Linked DNA regions of Oreochromis niloticus. The main gene of each other region encodes a partner of the protein of the gene in region 3 in a complex. Links are inferred from orthologs where the notes say so. Each region holds a gene or a part of one and is shown on either strand. Other genes may lie near its edges.

Region 1 (7,863 bases), on a different chromosome or scaffold from region 3:
TGTTACTGGACTAAGAACTGCATCTTAAGGCGTGCAGTCATTTTAAAGAATTTGAATAAGTAACAAATAAAACAAACAAATACCAAATTTCCCCTTGTGGGACAATTAAAGGATTATTCTATTCTATTCTATTCTATTCTATTCTATTCTATTCTAAATAAAGTTATAAAACAAGCAAGAAACTCACCAAATCAGGGTGTGGGAGTTTTTTGGAGAAGATCCGCATGTAGCCTTGAAATGCTTTTGTAATGATTGCTATGAGGGGAGAAGGAAAAGAAAAGGGAGGTTTAGTGGCCTCAAATTGACGTGTAACGTGGAACTGATTTCTTCCACCTGCTCACACTGACTACAGATCACAATGTTGTCTGCAAACATCATAGTCCACAGAGCTTGTCCATCACACCGCACATTCGCAATATGATTTTGTGCAGAGACTGCAGATTCTGTATGAAACCCGAGGTTTGAGAATGAAAAAATAGAAATTTAATTAACCCTTAAAGTCATTAAGATGCTTTTAATATCACAACAGAAGGCTGTAGATAGACTACTGCATTAGAACCAAACAGCATCAGAGTCAAATCCACTTTGATTTTTCTTCCACTTACATGGCTTCTTCTTTGTGCCTCCAAGAGCACCATGCAGGGCATTTAAGAACCACGTCATGAAGTCCACAGCATCACCTGCAGAAGAGAAAAAACAATTAGTTAGCACCACAACCTGTGTTGAAAGCCTACCTGAGACCAGAAAGCACAATTTAGTGAATGTAAAGTAATACCTTGCTTTGTAATCTGGAAGTTCTTTTTGCTGCACAACACTACAGCCTGCAACATCTCGTGGGGTGACACATGGGCCTTAAAGTTTCTTGGATTCCAGAGTTTGCGCATCAGCTCACCAAACCTCTGCACCAAGAGAAACATGATGTCTCCTGGGGGCCTGCGGATTCCTCTGTAGTTTTCCTCCTCCAGGAAGTAATTTCGCAAAGGTGGAACATTAGAAAAAGCCTTGAAAAGAGAGACACAAATGAGAAGGGAGGATATTATTCCGAAAATTTACAACAATTAATAAAATCTAGAGTGGCAGATATCCATACCTGTAACACCACATTGGCATAGTCATTGGCTTTGATGTTGTTGAGCCCTACAATGCCCGGTAAGTAGGTGGTACCGTCATAGGCTCTGTACAGTTTACCCTGCTTGTCCAGCCCTGCAATGTGCTGCTTGGTGAAAGTTGGCTTCAGCACGTACTATAGAGAGAAGAAATGTAAGCAAATCAGCTGTTTGCGGTAACTGATACAAAGCCAGAGCTCAGAAATAATGACAAAATCAAACAGAACATGGTTATTATCATATCAGACTGAAAACACTGGTGCTTCTTCAGTCAATCCAGTCACAATTCAGACTGGAAGATATTTATTCACTCAATTCAGCTTAAAAAAAAAGTCACTAAAGTCAAAATAATTTGAATGTTACCTAACCTTTAGCATAGATATACATTTTACACTGTTGATTCTTTTTCTTCTTTCGGCTGCTCCTATTAGGTGGCATCAAAGCGGTTCATCTACCTCTTCTCATTACAGCCCAGTATATTCCTTATCCCTCCTCTGCACATGTCCAAACCACCCTCAGACTTGTCTCTAACTTTGCCTCTAAACTGCTCAACTTGAGCTGTCCCTCTGGTGTAGCTAATGCTGTCTATCCTGGTCACAGAGATTAGTGAATACGGTCCAGTGAGTCTAAATGCTCAAATTGCCTCCAGTCACCAGATCTCAATGCAATGGGATGTGATGAAACAGGAGCCACACATCATGGATGTGCAGCTGACAAATCTGCAGCAACTGTCTGACACTATCATGTCAAAATGGATCAATTTCTCTGAGGAATTATCAAACACCTTGTTGAATCTCTGCCATGAAGAATTAATAAGCAAGCTCTGAAGGTAAAAGGGGTCCAAACCTGTAGTACGGTAATAAGTTGTACCCCATAAAGTGGCCAGTGAGATTACATGAATTTTAGTTTTAGTATGAAAAACATTACTTACTGTGATATCTTCTAGTGATGAATCGATGATCTCATAGTTATCTGGCAGACAGTAAAACTTGAGTGTGTGCAGATTGAGGAACACATGATGGGTAAACTGTACGCTGTGAGTGTAAGCGTGGGACTTCAGACCTCTTCCTACAAAACACAAAACAAACCCCACACAAATCAGTACAAGTACAACAAGGTGTCTGATCCCCAGTTAAAATGTCCATTTGCCTACCTTGAAAGTATTTCCCACATATAAGGCAGGCGTAGACATTGATGTGGGAGAGAGAGATGGAGCACAGTTTCTCAAAGTCGAAGTCCAGCACACTCCTGCAGGATTGACACACAGACTTGAATTCACCTGCAGAGGTGGAATACAGCTTTAATAGCAATGCACAGTCTACTCCGACCTACCTGTTTATGGTGTCAAGGTAAGGACAGTGGCGGCTTCTTCGGTCTTCTACTGCATGTCCTCGTCCAACTTTTGCTGCCACTGCAACGTGAAGTGACCAAAGAAGAACAAATGTCAAGCTAAACCATGTACCAACAGTTCAAAGCAATGAGCTAAACATGCTAACTAGCTTAGCTTTGAGGTTGTGAGGTATGCTTGTTTTCAAACACTGGGTGCTTTAAGATGAGGGGTATCGTTTTGTTAAGCACATGGTAGAGGCACTTATTGCTCCGTCTATGCGTTACTGGACAGGCCAGTAAAAAAACCAACGCACCACTGGCTAACAACAACGCTAACTGCTAACCAAACGCAGGGCATACGTTTGAGGAATATACTTACCTCCGTCTTCATTGTCATCATCATCATCTAAATCCACCTCTCTTTCTCGCTTCAAAGAAACCATAGCAGCAGATAGACGGCGTCAAAACAATTTAGAAGCTAAACCTTTACGTTATTTGGAGAGAGTGATGAATGGCTCAAGCACTGTGCGCCTCGAAACTCGCGGCGATTGTGCCTTGTAGCTGTCGAGTAGCAAACTAAAACCTAACCCGGAGTTTGAAAACCTACTAACGCTATACCCACCCTTAGTCACTTACCAAAAACTAATATGATAACTTGCCAAATTCTAAAGTATAACTGGATCTTTGTTTGTTTTAAATATATATACAGGTTTGTCATATTTGGGTATTTGTTTATGGTGCGCAATTTAGTTATAATCATTATTTATTAACTCAGGGAGCATTATAATTGGACAACATGTTATCGTTAGCTAGCCTTAGCTATATAGCTTTTTGACCGTTCACAGTGCTCTGATTGGGACTTGTTGCAGTCAGCAGTGCATAAACACTGACGTCGTTTGGAAGCGGTTTGCTGAAATGGATGTTTTAAGAGAAGAGGGGGTCCATGAGCTGAAATACAAACCAGGTGGTCGCTTGGATATGAGCCACGGCTTCCTGCACCATATCCGGAGGAACCAGATTGCTAGGTGAGTTCCTCAGCTGCTATTAGCTTATGCTAGTAGGTAGTACACTAGGTCATTCAGTTAAAAACATCATCGTTATTATTATTAGTGAAAAATAATTTTACGATTAAGTAAATATTATCTTGTTATTAACACACACGCTTTTACATTCGGAGCTAAAATATATGGGGAGGTCGCAGAGGCCTGGTGACCAGTTCTCTTTGATTTAAGATACTGAGGAGCAAAATGATAAACAACTGCATACTGGAAAAAACTGAGTTCAATCAGTGCGCGCATCTGTTAACAGGGGGATCATTTTAACTTGTTTTTGACAGAAAATACGACAGACCCCAAAAATACTAGGAGAAAAATTAAACACATCACATAATGTTTTTGTTTGTAGGTTTCTTTGAAATGCATTTCAGTAAAGCAAGTAAACCTGGCACAAAAAGTAAAGAAAATCTTTGTTTGGCTTTTGAAAATAAGTGATATTTCACTGGAAAGTCTGTTTGTGTTATTTTAAATTGTGTCACTTGTTGGTTGTGCCCATGACAAAACCTGGAAAATCTTATCTGCGAATCCCAAACAGTTTTTTTTCTGCTACTGACTTTTGTTTTGAGATTCTGATATCCCGGATACAGACAGGTGTCTGATTGTTGGATTAGCACCACCTGTAATTGTGGACCTTACAGGGCACGTGCCAATAGGGCAACTTCAAGCTGGTGTAGTCCCTTATCCAAATCAAAGGCCAAGTTTTATTTGATGCGGGATGTCAGACAGGCCACGAAATGGGCATCCCAAGAAGACGACGCCATAAGAAGACTGTTTCTTCACCCTGTCAGCACTTTGGAACAGAAGTCAGTCTTCTGTAGATTTGCAGTCAAGGTTTGCAGAACAGTATCACTGACTGTGCTCTACCCAGAAAATCCAGAACAGACTGCACAGGCCAATCTCCGGTGTCATAGGGCTGCCAGGAGGCCTGCCATGACTGCTGTTCACCATCAGGCACATTTGTGCTGCTGTTGGCAACATGTGCACTGGGAAACTGTGCTGATTGCTGCACCGATAGGATAGCAGCTTTTGGTGGAGGCAGTGTTATAACGTGGGGCGGCATCTCCTTCAGTGGAAAAACGAGGCTTGCCAAAATTTGAGTCAATCTCAATGCAAGAGATACTGAGACGAGATTCTGCAAATGGTGGCAATCCCATAACTCCACAGTCTAGGAGGGAACTCTATCCTCAAAGATGACAATGCTCACCACAACAGAGCGGACCACCTCAGGTCCAGTTTTTGGGAGTGGAGAGGATGGAACGTCCTACCTGAAGTCCTGACCCCGTTGAACGGTTATGTGATCAGCTTGGATGTGGACCAAGCCGGTGACCAGCATAGAAGGTGCCAAGCTGTTGAGTCTGCGTATGGTTCCACGTGCTGCATAGGCCCATATTTCTTGAAATAAAAAATTGCTAAAAAAAAAAAATTTAAGACCTAAATCATCCAGTTCAATAGGCAACACCAAAGAAGAGTCAATAGCAGAATAAGGCTCTTTGGTATTGGCAGAGAAGATTTAGCAACTTTTTCATGGGCGCAACCCCCATACTCACCTCTGCTGCTCATCCCATTCATTTGTTAGGAAAAATGCATTTTTCCTGAGAAATGTGGGACTACTGAAGGGGAAATAAAAAGGCTTTCCAACGGTATGAGATTTATTCGCAAGATGCATCGTTACAAGAAAGAAATAATGGACCTTACTTTTTGTGCCAAATTTACATAGGCACGACTTACTTTCATAATGCATTTTCTGAACTATACAACAAACTGTTAGAAATGTGCATAAATGCATATGTAGGCATGAATATCATGCCAGTTCAAAGAAAATCCGCAAATTACATTGATGGCCTGTATGTAAGCTTCTCACCACTGTCTGAAGACTGGCTGACTGGTAAAAAGGAGTATTTTCTGTCAGTGTCTTTCAATTTTATTTAAAATGATGACATCTGTATACAGTGGTTAGTCAAGTCAAAAATCACAATATAAAAAACAGTGTCACTCCATTAATGCTTGTCCAGCCCTTCAATGTGTTAATTTTATTTTTTATTTATTTATTTGGATTTATTTGTTTGTCACATTTTCTGCATTAACTAAATTTTGATTCCCTTTCTCAAGAGATGACTATGATAAAGAGGTGAAGCAAGCCAAAGAGCTTCAGCGGCGGAGACACACCACAACCCCTCGAAGACCCCGTCGACCTGACATGCAAGTGTACCATCCTCGAAGAAGACGTAAGACTGATGTGCTTTCTCTTGACTTTTGTGCTGATAGTGCACCCATTAGCGGGAAGATAAAGTGTTTGTGTGTGTGCATGCGCTCATTATTCAGATGGTTCAGAGCCAGGGGCCGGTGCTGATGCTGAAGAAAACGAGAGTGGATCAAGCACAGAGACTGACGCCAGTGGGACTGAACTCTTTTGGCTTGAATATGAAGCTGATTCTGGTACCATTACATCCATCCTTGTGCACAAGGTTAATGCCGATTCCTTTTTATGATGTTTTCATAAAAATGTTTTCTTTGGTCATTTCCTGTGTGTAATTCCTTTAAATGCCTTTTGTTTCTGAAGGAGGACAAGCCTGAGAAGGTGGTAGAACGTGTTGCAGAGAAGAACATCCTGGATGCAGCCATGAGGGCAGCTCTGAAGGTTCGAATTCGAAAAGAAATTGACAAAAGGCGAGACAAACGCTGAGCAATCATCAGATTACGACCATAAAGGAGCTCCACGCAAAGAGGAGGAACACTTCGTTTGCAGTTCTGCACTCCTCCAGAGCACTCTTGTGCATTAAGGGTATAAGAAGGATCATTTAGAGTGACTGTCAGCAGAGATCTAACATGGTGACTTATATTCAGGCCATTTTTTTTCTTTTGTAAGAAGGAAGAGCACAGTTTATGGCTGGGAGTTGTTTTCAGGTTCAATTGCAATTCTTGACCTTGGACAGTTGTGCTATTCTCTGATTCACATATTGGGGACACGTTTAAGTTGACTGGACATTTTTAAAATTGTTACTTTTTAATAGTTACATTCAGAAGGAGCAGGTACTCTTCTGCACAGAGCCCTAAAAGCGTTGTCCTCCATGTCCTGTGATTCTTGTGTTTACAAAGATTCTGTTTGTTAAATTAAGATTTGAACTCCTTGTGTGAAGCGTTTTCAGCTGATCATCGGTCTGTCTGTCATCGGTCTGTCAGCAATCCTGTGTTTAAGAAATGAGGGAAATTAGTTTTGAAGTCCGAGTCTAGTAGATGACCTTGTTGGGTTGGTAACTGTTCTGTAGGTTCCAGTGCTCCGATTTATTTTGGATTGTTGAGAGACTTATTTTTGATACTGTAATATCTTTTTGAGGATGACACTTTACATATAAAATGTATTAAAGCCATGCATTGCTGTCCAGTTTTATGGTGCTGAGCACCACTTTTTATTTTATTTTTTTTTTGTCTTATCTTATATGACATAGATTCTGATTTTTAAACATGAATATAATACTGGAACATAGAAAAATACTGCATCAGTTTGATTTGACAAATGTTTCACATCAAATTTTCAGCAGGTGGCAGCATCAGTCATACAACCACGCAGACCTCTGCTGTAGTTTTTCTCCTGTTTAAATCAGGTTTTATGCTGTACTTCTGTAAAAAGAATGCATTTTTCTACAGACACCTACTAAACAGTTTAGTTTCAATAAAAAGGGGCACTTTGAATTGTTCTAATATTTCCCCTCTTTTGACTTTTTGACTAAAATACTGTGAAGAACAGAGGGGCAACGAAGAATTAGGTGGCAAGTTGCTGTACATGGAGTAGCGCCTTGGGTTTGTATCCATTTCAGGATCTTTGTGCACTTCAGTCAGAGCTTCTCTGTCCTCTGCTTTGTCAGAAATCTCATATCTTATTGGGGCTGCTTGTCCAACAATGAATAATAGCCTCTATACCAGGGGTAGGGAACTCCAGGCCTCGAGAGCTGGTGTTCTGCAGGTTTTAGATCTCACCCTGGGTCAACACACCTGAATCAAATGATTAGTTCATTACCAGGCCTCTGGAGAACTTCAAGACATGTAGAGGAGGTCATTTAGCCATTTGAATCAGCTGTGTTGGATCAAGGAACCTGCAGGACGCCGGCTCTCAAGGCCTGGAGTTCCCTACCCCTGCTCTATACACAGGAAGAACTCTTTATTTGTAGAGTTCAGATTTCAAATGGCAGTTTTATATTTTGCTTTGCAGACCTCTAAAATATGAACTTGAGTTTTTTGTGACAAAGCAGATGTTCATCTTGTGACCAAAAGAAGCGATTAGTTTGTGTGAAGTTGCACCTGTTCTCATATTATTTAAGCAATTGTAATTTTTGTATAACTTTTTTCGCACTGTTATGTCATTTCTTTTCCCATCT
Region 2 (7,231 bases), on a different chromosome or scaffold from region 3:
ATGGGATGAAATGAAGTTTGATGTTGAGTTCCTTTAAATCACATTTAAATACCAAAAACTGGGTTTCCATCTGTGTTCTAATGTGGAAAACAGATTAAAACTAAAAACTGAAGGGTTTTTTTTTTTTTCTTTAAATTTCAGTGACATAATGTGAATTATTTCAAGTATTCTTGTTTTAACTTTTATAATTATGGTCTTCAGTCCAAAACAAATAAGTAACTGTCCATCTGTCTAGTTTGATACAGCCAATCATAATCATGAGGAAGACTGCTGATAGATGATGCTCCTGATGATGATCAGAGCATAAACTGATGAACCTTCCTGCTCTATAGGAATATAACCAGAGTACAACCAGCTGGCAGCCGGATGAGTCGACTTGCCTTCAGCTTTTAACAAAGACTCATTCAAACTGATGGCAACATGCTGGCAATCTGTCTGCATTTACAAATTAGACAGCACGTATTTACAAACCTTCGGCAATCTCTCAGAGTGTGACTGCTTATTCAAGTCGGACAGCAACTGTTTGCATAAAGGTTGCCTCCCATCAGGTACCTTGTGTAATCGCCTTACAATCAAAAAGTGATTGTTTGCTCTGAATTAGGGGGCAGCTGCGTTAAGATAAGCGTGTCCAGTGCTGGGAAAGTTTTCGGTTAAGTTTTCTCAAGATGGTCATGCATGAGTTGAGCTCTCTTGTTCAAAGTATTCCCAGAGTATGTTAACTTCTTTATTAAAATATCAGTATCTGGTGTTTTCCCCCACGCACCATCATACCTCTCTAGTACAGTCTTCTGGTCTGCTTATTTAATGTGTTGTGAGTTTGATGTGAAGCAGAGTCCAGAAGAGCACAGCTGAACACTTTTAGTGTTAAAAGAACTAGATTATCCTTACATAAATGAAGTGTACAATGACTGCAAGATTTAGCAGTTTTGTTAATATGATTAGTTTTAATAACTAATAACCTGAGTGCATTCCAGCAATGCCAGTCTACTAAATAACAACAACAGTGACAGAATGCAGGGCTGACACTGACAGCCTCACCTGAAGAAGAACATGACAGTGCAGGGGTCGTACAACTCGTACATCTTGTTGAAATCAGGTACTTCTGTGATGTCCACCAGGTAAATGACTGCAAAATTCTTAACCTGTCAAGGCAAAGTAAAAAACAAAAGTAAATACAGACAGAAAAAAAAAAAGAAGAAGAAAAGTGCTGCTCTTAGCAAAATGTTTTCCTGGACATCAAGTCAATTTTATCTTTTAAAAATTACACAAGGCCAGGTTTCTTTTTAACTTTAACAGCTCTGGGTAGCAAGGTTACATCTGGAAAATCATCAACCAATTGCTACCTCAGAGCCAAATCCTCCAGCAAAAGCCTTGGTTGTAAAATCAGCAATAATCTTCCATGACCAGTCAATGTAGTACGGAGCCTCCAGGCCCCTTTAAGAGGCATTAGAAAGTCTCAAACAAAAAAAATCTGGGTTTAAATAAATAAACAAATACTAGCTCTGTTGGTGAGCAGGCCTGTGGCCAGATAGCAGCAGGCCTGGGTTCGAGTCTGACCTGTGGCCCTTCGCTGCATGTCTTCCTCTCTTTCCCCACTTTCCTGTCTATCTATGCTGTCTCTATCCATTACAGGCTAAAAGGCCAAAAAAACTAAACTAAACTAAATTGAATCAATGGAAATTGATACAGTAATATTGAATCAAACTGCACTGACACTACAGTTATCATAGTGAAAATGTAGTTAGGTGCACTTTTTTTCCCTCTTCTTGACTTGCTGTATCCATAACACTGCTCTCAAGGAGTGACCCAGAAACATGGGTGAAGTTGGCTCTCTGAACTGAGTCATTACTAAAGTCATACTGTCTTTTATGGCTACTTTTCCTCCGGGTTTTGAGTTTACCAGTGAAAAAATAAAAATTGTTGCCACACTATAAGGACTAACATATGTCAGCAAATTACTGAAGGTAGCTTGCTGAAACTCAAAGACTTGGGAAAAACCTGAACCATGAAAACAAACAAAATGACCAAAACAAAGACTACTTGGGAGAGGGAGGGGGAAAAAGTGCCAGCATTACATTTGTACAAGTTATAGGCTCTACAAACTTTCACCTCTTAAGTTGTAATTAACAGTAAGAGAAAGACTTGCGTTTAGAAAGATTATTTGCAGGAGAGAAAAATCACTACATCCCAGAATAAGACCCCACCAAGGATGCTGTGCATATATTTTCAATTTGTAAGATTTTAAGACGTATTTAAATGTTACAATAAATGGTAAAATATTCCACGTATTGCCCTTAAAGTACTAAAATGACCTCCTCTATACTGAATTTTATCAGCTTAATAATATTACATGCATCCGGTTAAACCCCCACAAACAGCGCCCTCTACAGGAGTTCAGATAAGAAACATAAGCTAGCAAACAGTCGTCGTTGATAAACTACTCAGACCTTTTCCGCGATGCTGTAAAGAACTTCGTCCATCTTCATACATGTCGGGTCCCAATCGTGTCCGAAGCGGATAACCAGGACTCGGTCCTCCTCAGACAAGATGGCTTGGTCGACCTGCCAGCCGTTGTGGAGATGTGGTAGCATGTACGACATGTTGATCCAAAGTTTTTGATTCCTAAGCTGCAAATAAATATGTTTCATTATAACAGTAGCAAATGTGTAAATTACATTATAAATTACATCCAATAAAACCTCTGTTTTTGTTTGTGTTAGTCATAATAGGCAGTAAGCCTGCTGCTAACGGGGCAGTCTGGGTTGAGGTTAGCAAGGAAAAATCTGGAAGGAGAAATAGAGAGCCCTGCATAAAAAGAAGTGAACAAACTTCGGAAACACTTACCTAAAAACGTAAATAAATCCGTGTTATTAGGCCACGAATGTAGTGTTTGTGGTAACAATGCAATTCGTAACTCCAAGAAAGAGAAACTTTGTTGAATAATACCTCTGCTACAGCTCTTGCCGCTGTGTACTTTGTCGCAAATGGTTCGTTTCTAGACACGTGACGTCATCAATCCAGCGCCAGACGTGTTTACGTCACGTCCGTGTGTACGTTTTAGTCAGATGCAACCACATTTTAGGTTTTTCCTTAGTGAATTATGCTGTAAGACGTCCTGACCCTATTCAATCTGCTTTAGGTAACCTCTGTTTTTCATTTATGAGAAAAATGACTTCCAAAATCAGATTTCAGGAAAACACGGCATCCTTTCCAGCTGCAACATGGAAGAATTTTCTTAATATTAACTGGAACAAAGGGCATTTCCGGGATTTTTTTTTAATGGGGTGGCACAGCGGGTTGGTGGGGTGTGGAAGTCATAGGAATTCAGAAAATCCGATCAGAAACAACTTGTCACTTGTTTCTACGTTTTTCTTTTCGGGTAATTTTAGTGTTTCCACACCTGCCAAATCTCGATGTAGCCCTATAGTCGTTTTTCTATTTAGGTGTGGAGGCAAAGTCAACGCTCTACAATTTAGACAACAGCAAATACAGCTACATTTTTTACTGCCTTTGTTAAGATTTTTTTTAATAATAATAATAATATAACATGAGTTTTAATTAGTTGTCAAAAAATTCAAAGAGCTACTTTTTATTTTTGTATAGAGTACATTTCAGAGCCTGTACTTTTTAAAAAAAAACAAAACTTTTGAGTAAGGACATTGAATGGGTATGTTAATATTTACTAGAGCATTTTTAAATACAACTATCTGTATTTCTACTTAAGTGATGAATGTGTGTGAAGAAGAGGAGCAAACAAATTTCAGATATGTCAGTGCCACCACACCCCACCCCTTTAGCCCCGCCCCTGTCTGGAAGAACTTTTGGTCTTTACCAGTGATTGTAGAAGACAGGTTTATACTGTGGTTACACTGAAAAACATTACACAGTTACAGGTCCCTGCACAAAAGTACTTTCAGACAAATACGGTTTAGAAGAGCTTCATTTAAGGTGATTTACCCAGTGAAACATTTCTATAAAGGTTCGAGAATGACATAGACAAAGTACTGTGAGCTAATTACTGAAACTTGGTGCCATCTATTTTGGTCTTATCTTAATATCTTGATGCATGCTCAATCATCCGGGTAAGTAAATCCCAAAGGCTGATTCTGTGTATCTGGATGTAGCGTTTTCAGTGGGAGAAACATTTCGTCACTCATCCAAGTGACCTCTTCAGTCTCAGCTGACTGCGGGATTCCACAATCTTATAAACAGTACATTTGCATAATGACTGAAACTAGCACCACTGAAGGGACAATGGGTGGAAGGTCAGTTCCTTGATCATTAATATGCAAATTCTCATGACCATTGATCAACAACTACTGATCAAAGACCACTGATCATTGGCCATGAGTAGAGAGTTGATAGAGAGCTGAGCTGAGACTGAAGAGTGATGAAATGTTTCTCCCACTGAAAACTCTACGTCCAGACGAACAGAGTCAACCTTTGGGATCTATTTTGGTCCTTTCATTTTACACATGGGCTGTGAAAAGGTGTTCATGTTTCATAGTTGATAACATTTTATTAGATTTTATTTTTTTATTATAGTAACATTACATTTGGTTACTGTTTAATGTGACTAAGGCGCAGCTGCATTTTATCTACTATATTACATCATATCAAATGCTCCTCCTTGAAAATGTATCCAAAAGTTGATTGTCACAAAACTACAAACCATTAACTCACCAAATGTCTTTGAGTGAACTTAGATCAAGCTTATATATATATATATATGTATATATATGTATATATATATATATATATATATATATATATATATATATATATATATATACATATACATATATTATATATATATACATATATATATATGTATATATATATAATATATATATTATATATATATATATATATATATGTATATATATATGTATATGTATATATATATATATATATATATATATATACATATACATATATATAGAAGGCAACATTGCAGACATAGAGGACAGTTACAAGTACCTGGGGATCCCGCAAGCGAATGGGAACCACGAAGAGGGCGCTAGGAAAGCTGCAACCACCAAGTACCTGCAGAGGGTCAGGCAAGTCCTGAGGAGTCAGCTGAACGGTAAGAACAAGATCCGGGCCATCAACACCTACGCCCTGCCCGTGATCAGGTACCCTGCTGGGGTAATAGGCTGGCCAAAGGAGGAGATAGAAGCCACTGACATAAAGACAAGAAAGCTCCTTACCATGCATGGAGGGTTTCACCCCAAGTCCAGCACCCTGAGGCTGTATGCTAAGCGGAAGGAAGGGGGCCGGGGACTGGTGAGTGTCAGCACCACAGTCCAGGATGAGACAAGAAACATCCACGAATACATCACGAAGATGGCCCCAACTGACAGCGTGCTCAGTGAATACCTCAGGCAGCAGAAACCCAAGAAAGAGGAGGAAGGCGAGGAACCATCATGGAAGGACAGGCCCCTGCACGGTATGTACCACCGGCAGATAGAGGAGGTGGCTGATATCCAGAAATCCTACCAGTGGCTGGACAAAGCTGGACTGAAAGACAGCACAGAGGCACTAATCATGGCAGCACAAGAACAAGCTCTGAGTACAAGATCCATAGAGGCTGGGGTCTATCACACCAGGCAAGACCCCAGGTGCAGGCTGTGTAAAGATGCCCCAGAGACAATCCAGCACATAACAGCAGGGTGCAAGATGCTAGCAGGCAAGGCATACATGGAGCGCCATAACCAAGTGGCCGGCATAGTGTACAGGAACATCTGTGCCGAGTATAACCTGGAAGTCCCGAGGTCAAAATGGGAGATGCCCCCAAGGGTGGTGGAGAATGACCGAGCTAAGATCCTGTGGGACTTCCAGATGCAGACGGATAAAATGGTGGTGGCTAACCAACCGGACATAGTGGTGGTAGACAAACAGAAGAAGACGGCCGTAGTGATCGATGTAGCGGTTCCGAATGACAGCAACATCAGGAAGAAGGAACACGAGAAGCTGGAGAAATACCAAGGGCTCAGAGAAGAGCTCGAGAGGATGTGGAGGGTGAAGGTAACGGTGGTCCCCGTGGTAATCGGAGCACTAGGTGCGGTGACTCCCAAGCTAGGCGAGTGGCTCCAGCAGATCCCGGGAACAACATCGGAGATCTCTGTCCAGAAGAGCGCAGTCCTGGGAACAGCTAAGATACTGCGCAGGACCCTCAAGCTCCCAGGCCTCTGGTAGAGGACCCGAGCTTGAAGGATAAACCGCCCGCAGGGGCGTGCTGGGTGTTTTTGTTTTTTTTACATATATATATATTATATATATATAATATATATATATTATATATATAATATATATATATTATATATATATAATATATATATATAATATATATATAATATATATATATAAATATATATAATATATATATATAAATATATATAATATATATATATATATATATAAATATATATAAATATATATAAATAAGCTTGATCTAAGTTCATATATATATTAATTATATATACATATATATATATATATATATAAATATATATAAATAAGCTTGATCTAAGTTCATATATATATTAATTATATATACATATATATATAGGTATACATGCATACAGTAGTATGTTGATTTTTGTTTTTTGGACTTCTGTAAGGAGACTTTCAGGATTCCTAGAAGTTTGTTTTAAAGCTGTCTAATCTTGGTGGTAGTAAACTACTATCATCAAGACGTATTGTCATATTTTAACTTGTTATAAGATAAGAGATAAGATGGCCTTTATTAGTCCCACAGGTGGGAAATTTGTTTTGTTACAGCAAAAGTGCTTGTTGTGCTTTGCCAGAGGACATTTTCCCTCATATGAAAATACCTTCTCTGGCACGCATACATTTCATTACCAAACACTCTGTAACCAATGAAAAGATTGCAAGTCCTCAGACAAACAAATAACTCCTGGCTCTTCATGCCTCTGCTCACCCACTTCTAAATCGGTATTACACATCATCCCTGCATTTTTGTAGCTGGTAGTTTTAGTACTTACTGTCAAAAGGAATGGTGCCATTAAGATTTAATTTTTCTTGGCAATTAAAACAACAAAATAATGTTTCCAGGATAAACTGCAGATGTTATGTAATACCGTTGCGTGATTGTAAGCAAGTACAGCTGTTGGTTGGAAAGAATGCAAACTTCACACTTTTACTGAATTTTTAATTGGAGGGCGAGTGTAAAGACACATAAATGTACATTAACAGTTCTCATGCAGGA
Region 3 (7,358 bases):
AATGCTGCCAGACTTCTGAACAAATCACCAAAGTTTTCTCATGTCACACTGCTACTCTCCCAGCTCCATTGGCATCCCATTGACTCGAGAATACATGTCAAGATTTTGGTTCTCACTTATAGGGCTCTGAATGGTCAAGCGCAAGCATGCATCTAAGAACTTTTACATCTGTATGGCCTTAGCAGATCCCTAAGGTCATCTGACCGAGGCCTGCTGTGCCACATGCAAGGGTAAAAACTAAAGGTGACAGAGCCTTATCTCAGTAGTAGCACCAGGACTCTGGAACTTTCTCCCCTTTAGTTTTAGGTCTGCAAACTCTGTTCAGCTTTTTTAAAAGCAACAAAAAATCTTTTTACAATTGCTTTTAATGAACTATTTCAATGTACTGATGTCTGATGTTTTTTGTTTTCTTTTGTTTAGCACTTTGTGATCAATATCTTTAAAGGTGCTATATAAATAACTAAACTCACTTTTGCTTACTTCATTGTATGAGATTGAAGACTAGGGGGTGGGCAGAGTCTTTCAGTCTGTGGCACCAAGGGTTTGGAAAAGTCTAACATTCCAGCTGCAGTGGGGAAAATAATTATTTCATCATCTGCTGAATTTGAAGGTTTGCTCACTTACAAAGAAATTAACAGTCTGTAATTTTAACGGTAGTTTTTTTTGAATGGACAGAATATCAATCAAAAATCCAGAAAATAAAACACGTTACATAAAAGTTACAAATTGACTTGCATGTCACTGAGTGAAGTAGGTTTTTGATCCCCAAAAAATGTGTTAGTGCTTGGTGGAGAAACAACTGTTGGCAAGCACAGTGGGAAGATATTTCTTTAGTTGGTCACGAGGTCTGCACACATCTCAGGAGGGATTTTGTGCCTTCTTGGGCAGGGAGACCTTATAGCATAGTGTTTTACCAATTGTGTTCTTGGTGACTGTGGTCCATTTATATTTATTCCATTTCATAATAATCACACCAACATTTGTCACCTTCTCAACAAGCTTCTTGCTGATGGTCTTGTGTAGATCTACAATCTTGTCCTTGATGTCATTGGACAGCTGTTTTGGTACTGGTGGTCAAAGTTGGAAAGAAAGAAATTGATTCTGTGAGCAGGTGTGCTTTCTAAACATAGCGAGTTAAGTTCGGGAGTATCTGTAATTGACTGAATGTAATTTGTGTGCCACATGGACACGCAGCCAATTTGTGGGAGGAAGAAGTGTGACTGGCACTTATTTCAGTTAAAGGCATGCAAATCAATGCATAACTTTTATGTGATGTGTTTTTTTCTGGATTTTTGGTTGATATTCTGTCCCTCTCTATTAAGATAAAAATTAGCGGCTATGCATTTTTTTTTTTCTAACTCAGCAAAACGTACAAATTCAGCAGGAGAATCAATTTTTCCCTACTGTACATTTAGCTGACTCTTCGACAATTGAATTCTTCTCTGTTTAACCACGCTTTCTATTGAAATTCTATTATTAATTATATTTTTATTGTCTTTTTTATTGTTATGTCTTCTACCATAGTTTTATATTGCTAGCACTTTATAAATAAACATCACTTACTTTCTATTTCGTCACTCCTTAAGGGACAACTTCATTTTTATTGAATGACTTTCTTTTTTTGTCTTTAGGTTTGTTTTAAAAGAATTTTAAACACTTGTCTGGTTCCCCCTTAGCGAGGTCAGGCCTGCAAACTTTGCTCATTGCAACTGCTGTAGTTTGAAGTTTGTTTGGCCGGGCATGCCTGGTGGAAAGCGTTGCCTCTGCCTATCAGGTCCAGCTGCCTGTGTCAGTCAAAGAGTCCATGAACCTAACTCCAGTATCCAGGTGGCTGTATAGGATAGTTGCCTGATAGTTATTGTTAGAAAAGGGCCAAAACATCCCTTGGGATTAACTTCTTGTTGGAACGGGCCTAAAGTGGCCACTAGAGGAACTAATGCAGTTTTTGGCACTTCCATATTGGCATCAGTTTTCAGCTCCAGAGGCAGCCACATTTGTACAACACATACAATGGAACAATAGTCACTGCTACTTGCAAATGTCATTACATAACTGACAGCCAACGAGGTCAATCTTGCCAGCAGCAGTTATTCTTGGGCAATATATCAGTGAATACCTAAAAACAACAACAACAACAAAAACAACCCAAGAAGCAATTACATACTCCACGTGCATATCTTCAAATGTTCTTGTTTTCCTGAACCAACAGAGCTTAACTCCATAATGTTCACTTTGATAATAGTTACCTTTAAAAAGCTGGAAGCCATGTGGTAAACTATTTTGCTTAAATTATGGTAAAATACATTTAATTTTCAATTGAAATAGTAGCTAATATATAAATCATTAGACTGTTTCAGATCAAAACATTGCATTGCAACTTGCATTCAACAATTTAAACAGAACAAGGAATAATTTACTACACTCAATAACTTAAATAAGTGATCAGTAAGACCTTGTTTTTGGGAAAACTAGATATATGACATTCTGATTTTCCTCAAGGTCACAGAGAAAAATGGTTTCAAAGTGAAAACAACAAAAGGCGTTTGTTGTGGTGGAAAAAGCATGTAATCAAAGTGCCTCAGATTTCCATGTATTATTCTGTGGTCCTAATTAGAGGCTTCCTTTAAACTACCAGATTTCCTTCCATATTCACACAACTTGGGTTGTAGTGTGCTTGTAAACATGGACGTAAATATTAAGTACATGAGTGATGAATCGGCAGGGGATGATGATGGAGGTGTGTTGTTCAGTAGGAGTAAATGAATGCATCTGTAATGACTATCTGACATTTTGGTGATAGAGAAAGAGCATGTGTTGTAACTAAAGCATGCTGCGTATGCAACTCTTCCTGATGGTTGCACGTGGCATTAGCACTGTGAGCGAAAGCATGGATGTGGTTTGCTGTAGACAGAGCGAGTCATTTGGCAGCCTGGTGTAGCCTCGGGCTCTCTGCAACTGATTCATGCTCACACTACTATAAGTGCACGCAGTTGACCCACATCATGCAAAGAGAGGGAAAAAAGTCAGGAGGCGGGCATTCAGGGGAAGGAAATGGAGATCATCTGATAATTTTTACCAGGGGACTGGGTTCATGACTGAGCTGCGGTTAATAATTAGGCAATATTTATGACTAGTTTGACTTCTGTGAAAATCATAGAAACACTGCGCTTTTAATATGAAGACAAAGCCCTATCATGAACCTTGTAAAGGAGAAATATGAGAATACTCTCTGCCAAAGCTCTTCATCAGCTATTTTTTCAATTTGGATTTTTATTTGCAATTCAGATCACTCTCTTAGTTCCCAGAATGTAAAACATTAGTTTTAATCCAGCTTTAACTAGTTTTGGTATTTGAAGTTGCCAGGGAAAAGATTTAACCTCTTAACAACCACCAAGTCACTGCTGATCCACTTAGTGGTAGGCTTATGCTGAATTTTACCAAGAAGATGAAGAAGCATAGTCTCAGAAACTAGAAGACATTATTACCCTTAATCCTAAACAGGTGACCTGGGTGAGGTTAAGAGGCCAAGAACATGATATGTATCAAAGAATAAACACTTTTTCCATACTTAAAAAAAAAACAAAAAACATTAATCTCACTTTACTGATGTATATACATATTGTTGTTATAGTAACATTAATTTTCAAGTCTATTCTTTATTTCAGTAACTAATTATTTCGATTACACCTAGTGTTCAGCTAGAGTTTCTATAAATATATTGCTCTGCAATTACATGATGCCAACAACTTGATAGTCAGTTAGCTTAGTTTGATTTAAATGGACAAAAGACTGCGTGTATCACCAGACAAATCTGCTAAAAAAAAAAAGTGTAATAAATTTTTCTATATACGTTTGACTTCTACCATCATTTTGTGCTGTTAGAGAATTTTAATCCAGGATCCAAAGACTGCCATGGCTCTCTATTATAATGTGTCCCATGTGTATTATAGCTAAATAGGCAGATTCATTAATGTGTTTTCGCTGGTGAAAATGAAAACTAGTTGGGGCTTGTATAAGGTTAGTTGAAGGAAAATGGGTTTGAAAGCGAACTCGTCAGGATAAAACGCAGTGTGCATAGTCACACCCACAAGACAGTTTTAATTCCTGGAAAAACCCTGAGCTGTGGGCATAATGCTATAACGACACAACATTAACCTGGTCAAGAACGAACTTTCACGGATAAATAAATTGCCTTAACCCTCAGATTTTTAAAACTATTTGGGAGAAATACGTTTTACCTTGTGGAAAACAGGGATATTTCCATACATGTGCAGATAGGTGGAAACACCGCACACTTGAAACGAAACGACTCTGCGGAAAAAGTCCACGAAGAAGAAGCTGCGTCCATTTCCTGTTCCGGGGCTTGAAACAGAAACGTCGTGCGGACGCGCGACTAAACAGAAAGTTTTGGAGAAAACTTCGCACGTTGAGTGTTTCACGCGTCTGAGTCTTCATCGTTTTTATTTGACCTCCACGGCGTAAACGGGCTGACTACGATAGAAGAGTAATCTAAGGTTTGTAAGCCTCATGAAGCAGTTATTCCCCGGTGATGGTAGCTCGCTTACACCAGTGTGCTAACGTTAGTTAGCATCTAACCAGGGAGGTTTGGCGGATGTGATTGATTTAACAATGTATGTTGCTACGGGCTGGCGCTTTAATTTAATCAGTCTGATTTAACACTCATCAACTAACAAAGTGCAGCAAGTTCGGAGTGACTGACTGTTTATGTGGGAGTTTTTATTAGTTGCAAACTGGTGAACGTCTGTGTCAGAGCAGCTGTAGCTAAGTGAATAAAGGACGGCGGGTTTTGGAGCTCATGTTTGGGACTATCACATTTGTGTGATATAGGACTAATCAAGGCCAGAAATCACGAAGATTTTGAGTAATAACCATGCTCAGTAGCGGTAATCCATGACATAAGTATTTGATGTCCTGCAGGATTGGAGGATGTCTCTTCCAAAGCGGGAGGTGGAGGAGTTGAGGCCATGGGTGGAACGCACTGTGAAGAAGGTGCTGGGTTTCTCGGAGCCCACTGTGGTGACTGCAGCATTGCACTGTGTGGGAAAGGGACTAGACAAAAGGAAGACCATAGGTAAGTTCGGAGAAATATCTCTTATTTATTTAGAGATCTGGTGACGATTCAATTCAGCCAAAAGTGCCTCTGACATCAGAGGTATATCCCAGGGTGATTTGTTTTACCTTCTTACAAAATGCACCCATCATTGCAGAGAAAAAAGTCCAGCCAAGTAGCAAGAGTCCAACAGCAGTCTGAAAACCTATCTGGCCTTCTTAGGAGTATTTGACATGACTACCAAGCTGTGGGTTCTTAACATAGTGCAGACAGCCAACCCACAAAATGATGGCGTGAGGATCTGCGATGTAGCTATCAGCAGGGCTTGTTTGCAAAGGTAATAGATTTGCTGTCCAGTTAAAATACTGCAGTCATTTGTTCATTCAAATGAAAGATTATGAGTACAAAGAAAGCTGCCTATTGCTTTTATTTGTTTGTTTGTTTATTTATTTATTTATTTCATCTGTCTGGGAAATAATTGCTTGGTCTGTTAGACTGTGACTTCTGTAGGTGCTGTAGTTTAAATGTCAGTGTATATTTTTATGTGGGTATTTAAGCTATTCTGTGGTAACAGTATTTTCTTTTCAGAGTGTTAATTATTTCATATTTATTGTCCTCAGACCAACTGCGTCCTTTTCTCGATGACTCTGCTGGAGGCTTTGTAGAGCGGCTTTTTGAAGCCCTCGAGGAGAGCCGCAGCACACGTGGGAACAAAGGATCTGGAGAAAAAAACCGGAAGAGAGAACTTAAGGTAACCTAACATCATAGCAAATGTTCATACTTTATATTATCATTATATAACTGAATAACTAGATCTGGAGGTGAGGAGTTTTCTGACAAAAAACACGCTCATAAGCAAAAGTGACCCGTTTAAAGAAATTAAATACATTGCATTCAATGCATGCAGTGATTAGTCTGATTGTGTTAAGCCTCAGTTTGATTAACTTAAACCTCAGTGTAAACATCCCCTTACACTTCCTTTACTCCAGCATTAGACTTAATTGAGGTTTCACTCAGATTGCACTTAACTTTAGTTCTACATGGACTGCACTGATACAATACTGATTATTCTTACGGAAAGTTTAATTGCTGCATAAGATATTTATTTTTATTGGTGTTTGTGTGTTTGCCGGTTGTACTCAGGATGTGTTTGGTGAAGAGGCTGACACAGGCGCAGTGCGAGAAACTCCCGAGCCAACAGATGGCACAACGGCAAAGAGGAAACGAGTCCCCCGTTTTGAGGAGGTGGAGCAACCTGAGGTGATACCAGGACCTCCATCAGAGAGCCCCGGCATGCTCACCAAAATGCAGGTACATGATACTTGGTGCAATAGACAGTAGACAATATATATATGTGTATATGTAAGTATAGTGGCTTTATTTTCTTTGTCAGTCACCTCTGAATCCTTTTGCTGTCCTAACAGATCAAACAGATGATGGAAGCAGCCACAAAACAGATCGAAGAAAGGAAGAAACAACTAAGCTTTACTGCTCCAGCTCCTGCTACAACAGTAATGAGATTTCTTTCCCATAAAAATACATACTGAATAAAGAACTGCCGCCTTTTCAGGCTGTAAATTCTATTTGAAACCTTTCTAATTTCTTTCTGACTCTAGCGGTTGCCTGTTCCCACTCCACAGTCGCAGCTGGATGCCCCTCCACTCTCTCGACTTCTTGGCACTGCTGGTGCTGCAGCAGCTGGTGGTGGGTCATCCATCGCTCCCTACCAGGCTGCCAGCTTCATGAATGATGCAATTGAGAAGGCCCGTAAAGCCGCTGAGCTACAGGCTCGCATTCAGTCCCAGTTAGCTATGAAACCTGGCATCCTCGGAGCTTTGGGGAACACTGGGCCACAAAACTTTGTGGCACTAGCTAATCTACATGCCATGGGGATTGCTCCACCGTAAGTGATGTCAGACTATAAATATAAGATTTTAAAATATGCACAAGACATGAAAAAAGTAGGTGATGTCTTTGTGCTCAATTGACATTGAACTGCTTTCTCTTTATGTGTAACTACAGCAAAGTAGAACCCAAGGAGGTGAACAAACCGACACCTCTTATCCTGGATGAGAAGGGAAGAACTGTAGATGCCAGTGGCAAAGAGGTTGAACTCACACACCGCATGCCTACGCTCAAAGGTACATACATGGATACAGTGATCCAATATTTGTACACAAACATGCACAATGTGTTTTCTTTGTTTTGATATTCCACAAAACATTTTTCTTTCCCTGTGTAGCTAACATTCGAGCAGTAAAGAGAGAGCAGTTCCGCCAGCAGCTGA
Region 4 (7,656 bases), on a different chromosome or scaffold from region 3:
ATCACAGCAGAAAAACACACCAAAGAGATTTTTTTTCTTCATGTGCTGAAGGAAGAATCACTGATTAACAGGACGTTGTCAGAGGTGCAGCGTCGTCTGTCAGTGCTGGTTCTTCATTCCCTGTGGTTTTCCTGGTTTCTTATCTGACTGCTGCTGCTGCTGCTGCTGCTGACCCCGACCGGGGCCGGTCATCCCTCTGCCACGGCTGCCAAACAGACCTACAGAGAAAGTGAGAGAAAGCCTGTGTTAGATCAGGTAACAGAAAGTATTCCCAATCCCCTGTAAATATGAACAAATCTTAATATTTAAAATTCATTGAAAATAAATAAAATTAATAATACAGTTAAGGAGAATTGGTATGTATCACTGAAAACAGAAAAATGTAAAGTTATAAAGAACCTGCCACCAACACCAAGTAAAGACCAATATACGTTTAATAACTGGAAATGCCTCACACCTGACTATCACAAGTTTGTCAGAGGAAAAAGAAAATCAGGGGTGAAAGATGCACTTGGGAATTAAAACTCCATTTTCTAAGAAAAGTACCTTAGCTAGGTCTATGGAAATACGGAAATATCTGGTACTACGGCTCTAGCAGTACAGACTTTCAAGAGTGTACCTTAAGTTAACATAAATCCTTCAAATCCCCAAAATATCTGTGGATGTCCAACTTTGCGAGCAGATTTGGAGGCCTACAGAAACCACAATGCAATCAAACCCAGGACCTTCATTCTGAGAGGCCACATTTTTGACTACCACACCACCGTGCTGCCCAACTGGGAAGATCTGTTTAATATCTTTTACAAATCATATCAGGTTTTGATGTGAAGCAGCCACAATCCTCTCATGTGAACAAAAAAAGGAAGGTAGTAGATATGAAAAGACTTTAAATTAAACACTTATAAGAAAAAGTTATGAGGCTCCTGTTGGTCAAATCATCCATAAACATATGTGGTAGAAGCTGTCAGAAATTTCAGCTATGATTACGATAATAGTCATGGGTTCCTAGAATGGTTAGGGATTCGATAATTCTTTAACCTCAGTGAAATTAAAGTTGAACTTGGATAATTTATTTTTACATTTATCAGGTGTAAATTTGTTTATTTACAAACACTCTGGAAAGAACTGACAGAAATGTGGAAACAATACTCAATACTGTCCCATGTTTATTAAGACATCCAGCACGAACAACAAAAGCTGCTTCCACTCACCTCGGCCACCTGCTCCTCTTCCTTTGCCCTGCTGTTTGTTCTGCTGGGCGCCTCCACGTCCACGCCCCTTCGACACCACCTCCTCCTTCACCATATCGATGATTTCATCTGGGATTCGCAGATATTTGATGGTGCTTCCTCGGATGTAGCACTCAGGCATTCTCCAGAACTTATCTCCATCCTGTGAGAGGGGAGTGGGGCTGTCGTTCCATCAAATTGGCTTAACAATTAACTCAAGATTAAAAGAAAAGAAAAAGAAAAAAAAAAAAGCACTCTCTCGTAAGACCAAACAGCTACATATATAGAAATATCTGTACTGAAACAATACTTTAGTAGTGTATTTACAGCAAAAGGAAAAAAAAATCCAGAAGTTCACTCTCATTCCTCTTTCCCATTCAAAATTCCCTGTAGCTATTTAGCTAGAGTAATGTGTGGCTCAGTCCAAATCAGTGTTTTTGGAACAGTTAGAGAAAAGCAGGGCTGTGCACAAACACCAGAGCGCAGCCAGCCAGCAGGTGTATCCACCAAAAAGTGTGAATAACTTACTCAGCCTTTATATAAAACGATGATATCTCTGCACACAACACTGAAAACTGTCTTTTCTAACCATCAGTCATTAATCTAGAGCTTTATTGTAAGAGCAAGGTCAGTGTTACCCTGGATGTGCAGATGACTTCTCTCAGGTTGATGTTCATCCAGTTATCACAACTGACCAGGTGACCGTTGTACGTCTCTCCATTCTTCAGCTCCACCAACTACAGAGAGAAAAGATGAGGGGGGGAAAAAACTTGTCTTAGAATATTTTCAGAATTCAGAGCTGTATTAAAAGTTTCAATACTCACTACAAAAAATAAACTGAACTTGTGCCAATTAAAGTTCTAAAAAGAAATTAGGACTGGCTATAGTTTAGCAAAATAAAATGAGAGAGCTGAAGCCACAATTATATACAGTATAAATTTCAAAAGAAACCTGAATCATTTTCTGCTCACACACTTACAATTCACTGCTTTCTACATGTAAGAAATCTTGAGATGTCACTTTCTCTCCTCACGATTATATTTTTTTTACAGCCTGTTATATAAAATTGTATACATGGTCCAAGTCAGTCTCACCATAGGGTGGTTCTGGGCAGTCTTCAGCAGAGACAAGGGAAGCTGCAAAACAAAAGAGAACCAGGTCAAACATGGCGAAACGTGTGTAATCAACGGCATTTACCGAAGTGAGCACTGAAGCGAGAGTACATAAAACAGCCAGGAGTGTTATAGTCCAAAGAAAACGTCTCCATAGCCGCGGTGTTTAGCGTAGACATGAAGGTGCTCTTATGTTCAGGTTTTTTAAGAGTGCCTTCAGGTCTACGTCGTTTACTCACCGACTCCTATGAACTGTCAGTAACCTTAAAACTGCAAGAGTATGGAGCTAAATAAGATTATAAATCCCCGCCTCAGCACGTCGAGCATGACCTAAAAGCTTTCTAAAGCTATGTATTAAGTCTGCACTTATTTAAAAACAACTAGTGTACGTAATCGATGCTTAATTTAGCTGCTAAGCTAACTTCACATAGCTAACGTACCGAGTATGGAGAGGCAAGGCGATGCTGCTAGCACTGAGAGTGCTAGCTGAAAATCTAGCACTCTCAGCGCCACTGAAGAGAAGAAAAGTTTTAACAACTCACCATTTTGATGGTTTCTTTTTTTCTTTTAGTGTCTTACTTGCTAACACGATTTTCCCACCTACTGTTACTCTTTGTCTTCCGGTGCTGCGAGGCGCATTCATGACTGTATTATATGATGCTGCCCTCTACTGTCAGAAACACGCATTTCCAATATTAAATGAGAACAAATGAAAGGTGCAACGATTAAAATGTGCCACTTTAATAAGAATAAGTAAAGTAAAAAATATCAAAATAATTAGATATAAAAATAAAATTGCATTTTTTATATGCTGCATCTCTCCTATTCCCAAGATATACTTAAGATATCCTTCATTTGTTTTATTTATAAAGATAATTCACCAGTGGGTGTTTAATTTAGCAAAAAATCCCCTTTATCTGAACCATGTTTTCTCACAGATTTAAAAACTGATAACCGGAGACTGTATGGCGTTTTGGTGGTGAGCAAACAGTTAGATTAGTTATTTAAGGAATACTATTCTTCTTTCTTCTTACATTTTTAGTCCCTTACCAATTGTTTAAAACTATTGATTGTTAAAGTCAACAAATACACTGGGAAATGGAGGAGAATTATCCAAATAACTGAAAAGTTTTCATATATGAGACACACGATTTACATGAAATCCAAAAGCAGGTCAACAGCCAAAAACACAGAGTTCAACACATTGTTCATCATTATAAGGTAGAATACAACCATAACCACTTTCTTCTTATTTTAAAGCGGTTATTAGCAACAGCTCTCCAGGCTTTCTGAAGGTCTTTCAAAGGTTTTCCTTAGAAATTCATTGCTTTTTAACTCATTTACAGTCCATCCTAATAGTTGACCATTTTCAGAGATATGCTTTTTATTTTTTTCTTTCTTTCTAATACCACTTACACTGACCTATATCATTTAAGTAAACAGCTATATTAAAAAACGGTCACAAGAAACCTTAATAGAGTTCAAGTTGTGTTGAAGAATTAAGGTAAATATTGACTTTCATGCTGGTTAGAATTGTATAGACTGTTTTTTGCTTTGTATTCTGTATTTTCATGTATGTTTGCACATGCTTCAATGCACCTAGTTCCCATTTTATTTGCAAAATATAAAAAAACGGGTAGCTCAAGACGTTTGCACAGTAATGTAAATAGTTTAATAGAAAATGAAAATAATGTTAATTTTTGAAGTTACATCTTCAACGCAGGAAATGGATGGATTTATATTTTTTAATTAAACAAATAAATAAATGAGCAATAGAAACAGACAAAGAGGTAATAGAAAAAACCCCCATTAAAACCACTATCAGGAAAGTATAAGACCCGTTTGGAGGGGTTATTTCGATGACTTGCCATGAAAATATTATTGCCTTTCATTCTGTCATACATTGTCCCATCTGGACCAAAGAGCACACATACGATAAGGCTCCAGCCCTGAACATATTTCAACTGCCATATTTGACATCAGGGACAGCGCCACCTAGTGGGAGCAGGAAATGTCATGTTTTATACTTTGGGGTTCAGTATTATGATGGGTGACATCTGCAGCCTCAAATTTCTCCAGGAAAGCCTTAAGGAGTTGGTCTTGCTTTACAGTGAAATCTGTGACTTTTCGCGAAAGGGTGTGACCCCAGCAGCATGGCGAACTTTGATGTCTCGCCATGAAGAAACAAATTAGTATAGCTCAATGAAATCCAGACTGATCAGCATCAGCACCAGACTTTACAGGCATGATGTCAGACCCGCCCTGAACAGATTGATGTGACCATTGTCAGGAATACGCAGGTTTTCACAGGTTCGTCGTGGCCACCTCAAAAGCGGTGAATATCACGATCAGTCCATCATGATGCTTCAGTGCGAAAATTGTGACTTTAAACTGAACGGCGCACCCTGGTGGCAACGCGGTTCACCATGAAAGATGAAGTGGCTTTTGAGGGGCTTGGAAAGTTTAAAAAGTCTTGAAATTTGGCGCACACCTCCAATGTGATGAGGGCTTTGTTGTTATGTGATCACTTTCCTTGAATAGTGCAAAATGGCTCCACAGCGCCCCCTACACAATTTCAAAACAACAGCCCCTGCTCTGTGTTTTATATATGAGTCTGAAACCTGGTAAGCTTGTGGGAGATATCAAGATGTACAAAAAAGTCTCTTGGAGCAATATCCCAAATCCAACAGGAAGTCGGCTATTTTAAAATGAATGTGTAATTTTGGCGACATTTTCCCCTCTTTTCAGGCCTCGTTCTTTGACGAACTCCTCCAAGGGATTTCATCATATTGCCGCGATCTCCTGTGTGTGGAATCTAAAGACCTTTGTGATGTTAAATTGCGAAGCTTTTTACGTTCAGGGAAACGGGGTGGTCATGGTGGCACGTGGAGTTTCAATCACTCGCCAAAAAGCAGTAATCTGCTGTCACTCAAAAATACAATGTCCAGTCTCTCCCAAAGGTCGCAGGCGTGATGAGACTCGAGCTCGGAAATGTTTGTTATGGCATTTGTCAGTAATGGTTAGAGCGCCACCTAGTGGGACGACTATAATAATGGTTGATTTAGATGAAATGTTAGCTGGTGGTTAAATGCATGAATTCCATCAATATAACATCAGATCGGACGCGCTGGTTTTAGGTGTTGGGCTTGGCTCGACGTGCCGGGGTGCGAGGGCCCTCGTATCGCTGCTTGCAGCTTTAATTTTATATTGTAATTACAATGTTGAGAAACTCCCTGTAAAACTCTCATCCTTCCATAAGCAGGTCCTCTTAGCATGGACCCTCATTTATAAACACAACTTCTCACCACACAAATACCTCATCTGGAACAACAGAGATATTTTATTTGAAAATAAATCACTTTTCCTGGAAACTTGGGTCCAAAATGCGATCCTATTGGTGGCTCAGCTGGTTAATAAAGGGGGACAACTACTTACTTACAACGACTTTATTGCACTATATAATTTTCCAGTCAGTGTTCGGGAATTCTCAATGGTGCTTGGTGCCATACCCTCAGGTACTTTAATGTTATATAAAAACACTGACAGCTCAATATCTACCTCACTCACTCTCCCAGATACAGCTGAGTCAGCAGTAGGGAAAATCTGCTTTTCACAGGAACTTGGTGACAGCAATAAGAGAATACGCAGTTTATTCCAAGGGGATATCGTCTCTCTCCCATATATAATATCTTACTGGAACCGATATGTTCCAGATATCAACTGGAAGACAGTCTGGATGATCCCCCATAAATATTTGATTGTAAATAAGGTGAAGGAAGTTTCATTTAAAATTCTACATAAATGTTATCCTGCCAGTCACTACATGGTAAAATTTAAAAGAGACATAAATACTAATTGTACTTTCTGTGGGGATCATCCAGAAACTGTGACACATCTTTTTTGGTACTGTTCTTCTACACAGAGATTCTGGAAGGAATTTAGCAGGTTTGTTATTGTCCATATTTTAAGGGAGTTTTCTTTACGATGGGAAAATGTTTTATTCTGTTTCTTTAAGTTCCCCAAGAAGAATGATAAATGTTTTTTATAATAAATTTGTTAATACTTTTAGCTAAATTTTTTATCCATAAATGTAAGTTTACTAATAAAACACCATATTTCTGTCATTTTCTTAAGCATGTGGAATTGTACATACAATCAATATCAGACTCCACCAACAAAAAGGCTCTCAAAACAATATATATATGTGAATTTTTGCGTGTATTCATATAATTATTACTTTTTTCTTTTTACCCCTGGTTTTGTGTGTTCATGTTCTGTTCTTCTGTATACTTCATCTTTTCGTATGTTGTATACTCACTGTTTGTCAAATAAAATTTTAAAAAAAACTATTTAAAAAAATCTTTCAAAAACGTATTTTTGCTGACGTAATCACGTCACGTCTTAGGCTGCCTGCGGAAGGAGGGAGTACCTCCGGTTTGTGTGTGGGAGAAGGAGCCGTCAGCTCTGCGGGGTGGACTCTCACTCTAACCCTGTTCAAAGTAAAGACCGAGAAAAAAGAGGCAGCGGTTCCTCGTGATCGGGACGGGAGATGGATAACAGTAAACGGGCTGTGGTCGTTACAGGTTTGGGCTCTTTTATCCGCTGTCGTTGTCTCTTTTGTCTGTTGAGGAAAAGTTGAGGAGACTAAAGCTGCTCCATTAATGGCGTCAGGTCGTTCCTGCTCCACTCTGTTGCAACTGTACAGAAAGAAACGAGTACTTTTGTGGGAGTTCTGACCCTTTAGAGTTTTGGGGGGAGGCATTATTGAATAGTTACACGCTACAGACCGGTTCGGTGATCTCACCAGTGTGTTAGATTACTTCAGCTGAAAGGCCGCAGACAGTAAACAAATTACTCCCTTTTTATTTATATCATCTTTTTATTACACATTTTTTTTTGCTCTATGGATACGGTATAATATTTGTTTCTAAATGCTTTCAAATATCCCGTGTTCATCTGAAGTATTAGTCACTAATGATGAGCACATACCATATGGCAGCAAAGGTAATAATGCATATATTTTCATAAATATTAGATGTTGTTAGTTGTGACTTGGGACATTATTGAAATTATTTCAGTTTTAAAAAATGGATATCATAGGAGTTATGTCAGTAAATATAGACAGATGAACAATAGATAAAGTTGAAAACACAAGACAGAGAGAGTTTAATCATGAAATCTTTAGCCTAAATTATTGTTTTTTATTCTTTATTGCTTTGAATTATTCGTATCTTCCTGTCTAATTGTTGGGTGTGATGCCATTATAGATCTGTGGCTTAAAATACATATCCTATTCCCAAACAGGGACTAGGTTC

What was found.
Region 1: prpf3 (region 3) and usp39 share a complex: the UniProt entries of both Homo sapiens proteins name them as parts of the U4/U6-U5 tri-snRNP complex. The link is inferred for Oreochromis niloticus from reciprocal best matches to the Homo sapiens genes PRPF3 and USP39.
Region 2: prpf3 (region 3) and txnl4a share a complex: the UniProt entries of both Homo sapiens proteins name them as parts of the precatalytic spliceosome. The link is inferred for Oreochromis niloticus from reciprocal best matches to the Homo sapiens genes PRPF3 and TXNL4A.
Region 4: prpf3 (region 3) and lsm4 share a complex: the UniProt entries of both Homo sapiens proteins name them as parts of the precatalytic spliceosome. The link is inferred for Oreochromis niloticus from reciprocal best matches to the Homo sapiens genes PRPF3 and LSM4.

Annotation. Positions count from the first base shown.
Region 1 is NC_031977.2:19,023,273-19,031,135, forward strand, and holds the start of usp39 (ubiquitin carboxyl-terminal hydrolase 39), read right to left. Parts: upstream 3,018-7,863; 5' UTR 2,879-3,017; coding exon 2,815-2,878; intron 2,518-2,814; coding exon 2,439-2,517; intron 2,355-2,438; coding exon 2,260-2,354; intron 2,175-2,259; coding exon 2,038-2,174; intron 1,244-2,037; coding exon 1,091-1,243; intron 1,002-1,090; coding exon 776-1,001; intron 681-775; coding exon 606-680; intron 256-605; coding exon 188-255; intron 1-187. Other genes in the region: lg12h2orf68 (UPF0561 protein C2orf68 homolog), read left to right, coding at 3,351-3,460, 5,600-5,715, 5,813-5,955, 6,051-6,173.
Region 2 is NC_031985.2:28,337,908-28,345,138, forward strand, and holds the start of txnl4a (thioredoxin-like protein 4A), read right to left. Parts: upstream 3,021-7,231; 5' UTR 2,845-3,020; intron 2,628-2,844; 5' UTR 2,601-2,627; coding exon 2,448-2,600; intron 1,143-2,447; coding exon 1,039-1,142; intron 1-1,038. UniProt on the Homo sapiens protein: Plays a role in pre-mRNA splicing as component of the U5 snRNP and U4/U6-U5 tri-snRNP complexes that are involved in spliceosome assembly, and as component of the precatalytic spliceosome (spliceosome B complex).
Region 3 is NC_031976.2:21,498,915-21,506,272, forward strand, and holds the start of prpf3 (U4/U6 small nuclear ribonucleoprotein Prp3), read left to right. Parts: upstream 1-4,352; 5' UTR 4,353-4,514; intron 4,515-4,938; 5' UTR 4,939-4,947; coding exon 4,948-5,092; intron 5,093-5,691; coding exon 5,692-5,822; intron 5,823-6,214; coding exon 6,215-6,382; intron 6,383-6,495; coding exon 6,496-6,582; intron 6,583-6,687; coding exon 6,688-6,974; intron 6,975-7,093; coding exon 7,094-7,212; intron 7,213-7,313; coding exon 7,314-7,358. UniProt on the Homo sapiens protein: Plays a role in pre-mRNA splicing as component of the U4/U6-U5 tri-snRNP complex that is involved in spliceosome assembly, and as component of the precatalytic spliceosome (spliceosome B complex).
Region 4 is NC_031980.2:32,135,491-32,143,146, reverse strand, and holds the start of lsm4 (U6 snRNA-associated Sm-like protein LSm4), read right to left. Parts: upstream 3,022-7,656; 5' UTR 2,887-3,021; coding exon 2,884-2,886; intron 2,366-2,883; coding exon 2,324-2,365; intron 1,967-2,323; coding exon 1,868-1,966; intron 1,393-1,867; coding exon 1,212-1,392; intron 219-1,211; coding exon 100-218; 3' UTR 1-99. Other genes in the region: pyroglutamyl-peptidase 1, read left to right, coding at 6,891-6,924. UniProt on the Homo sapiens protein: Plays a role in pre-mRNA splicing as component of the U4/U6-U5 tri-snRNP complex that is involved in spliceosome assembly, and as component of the precatalytic spliceosome (spliceosome B complex).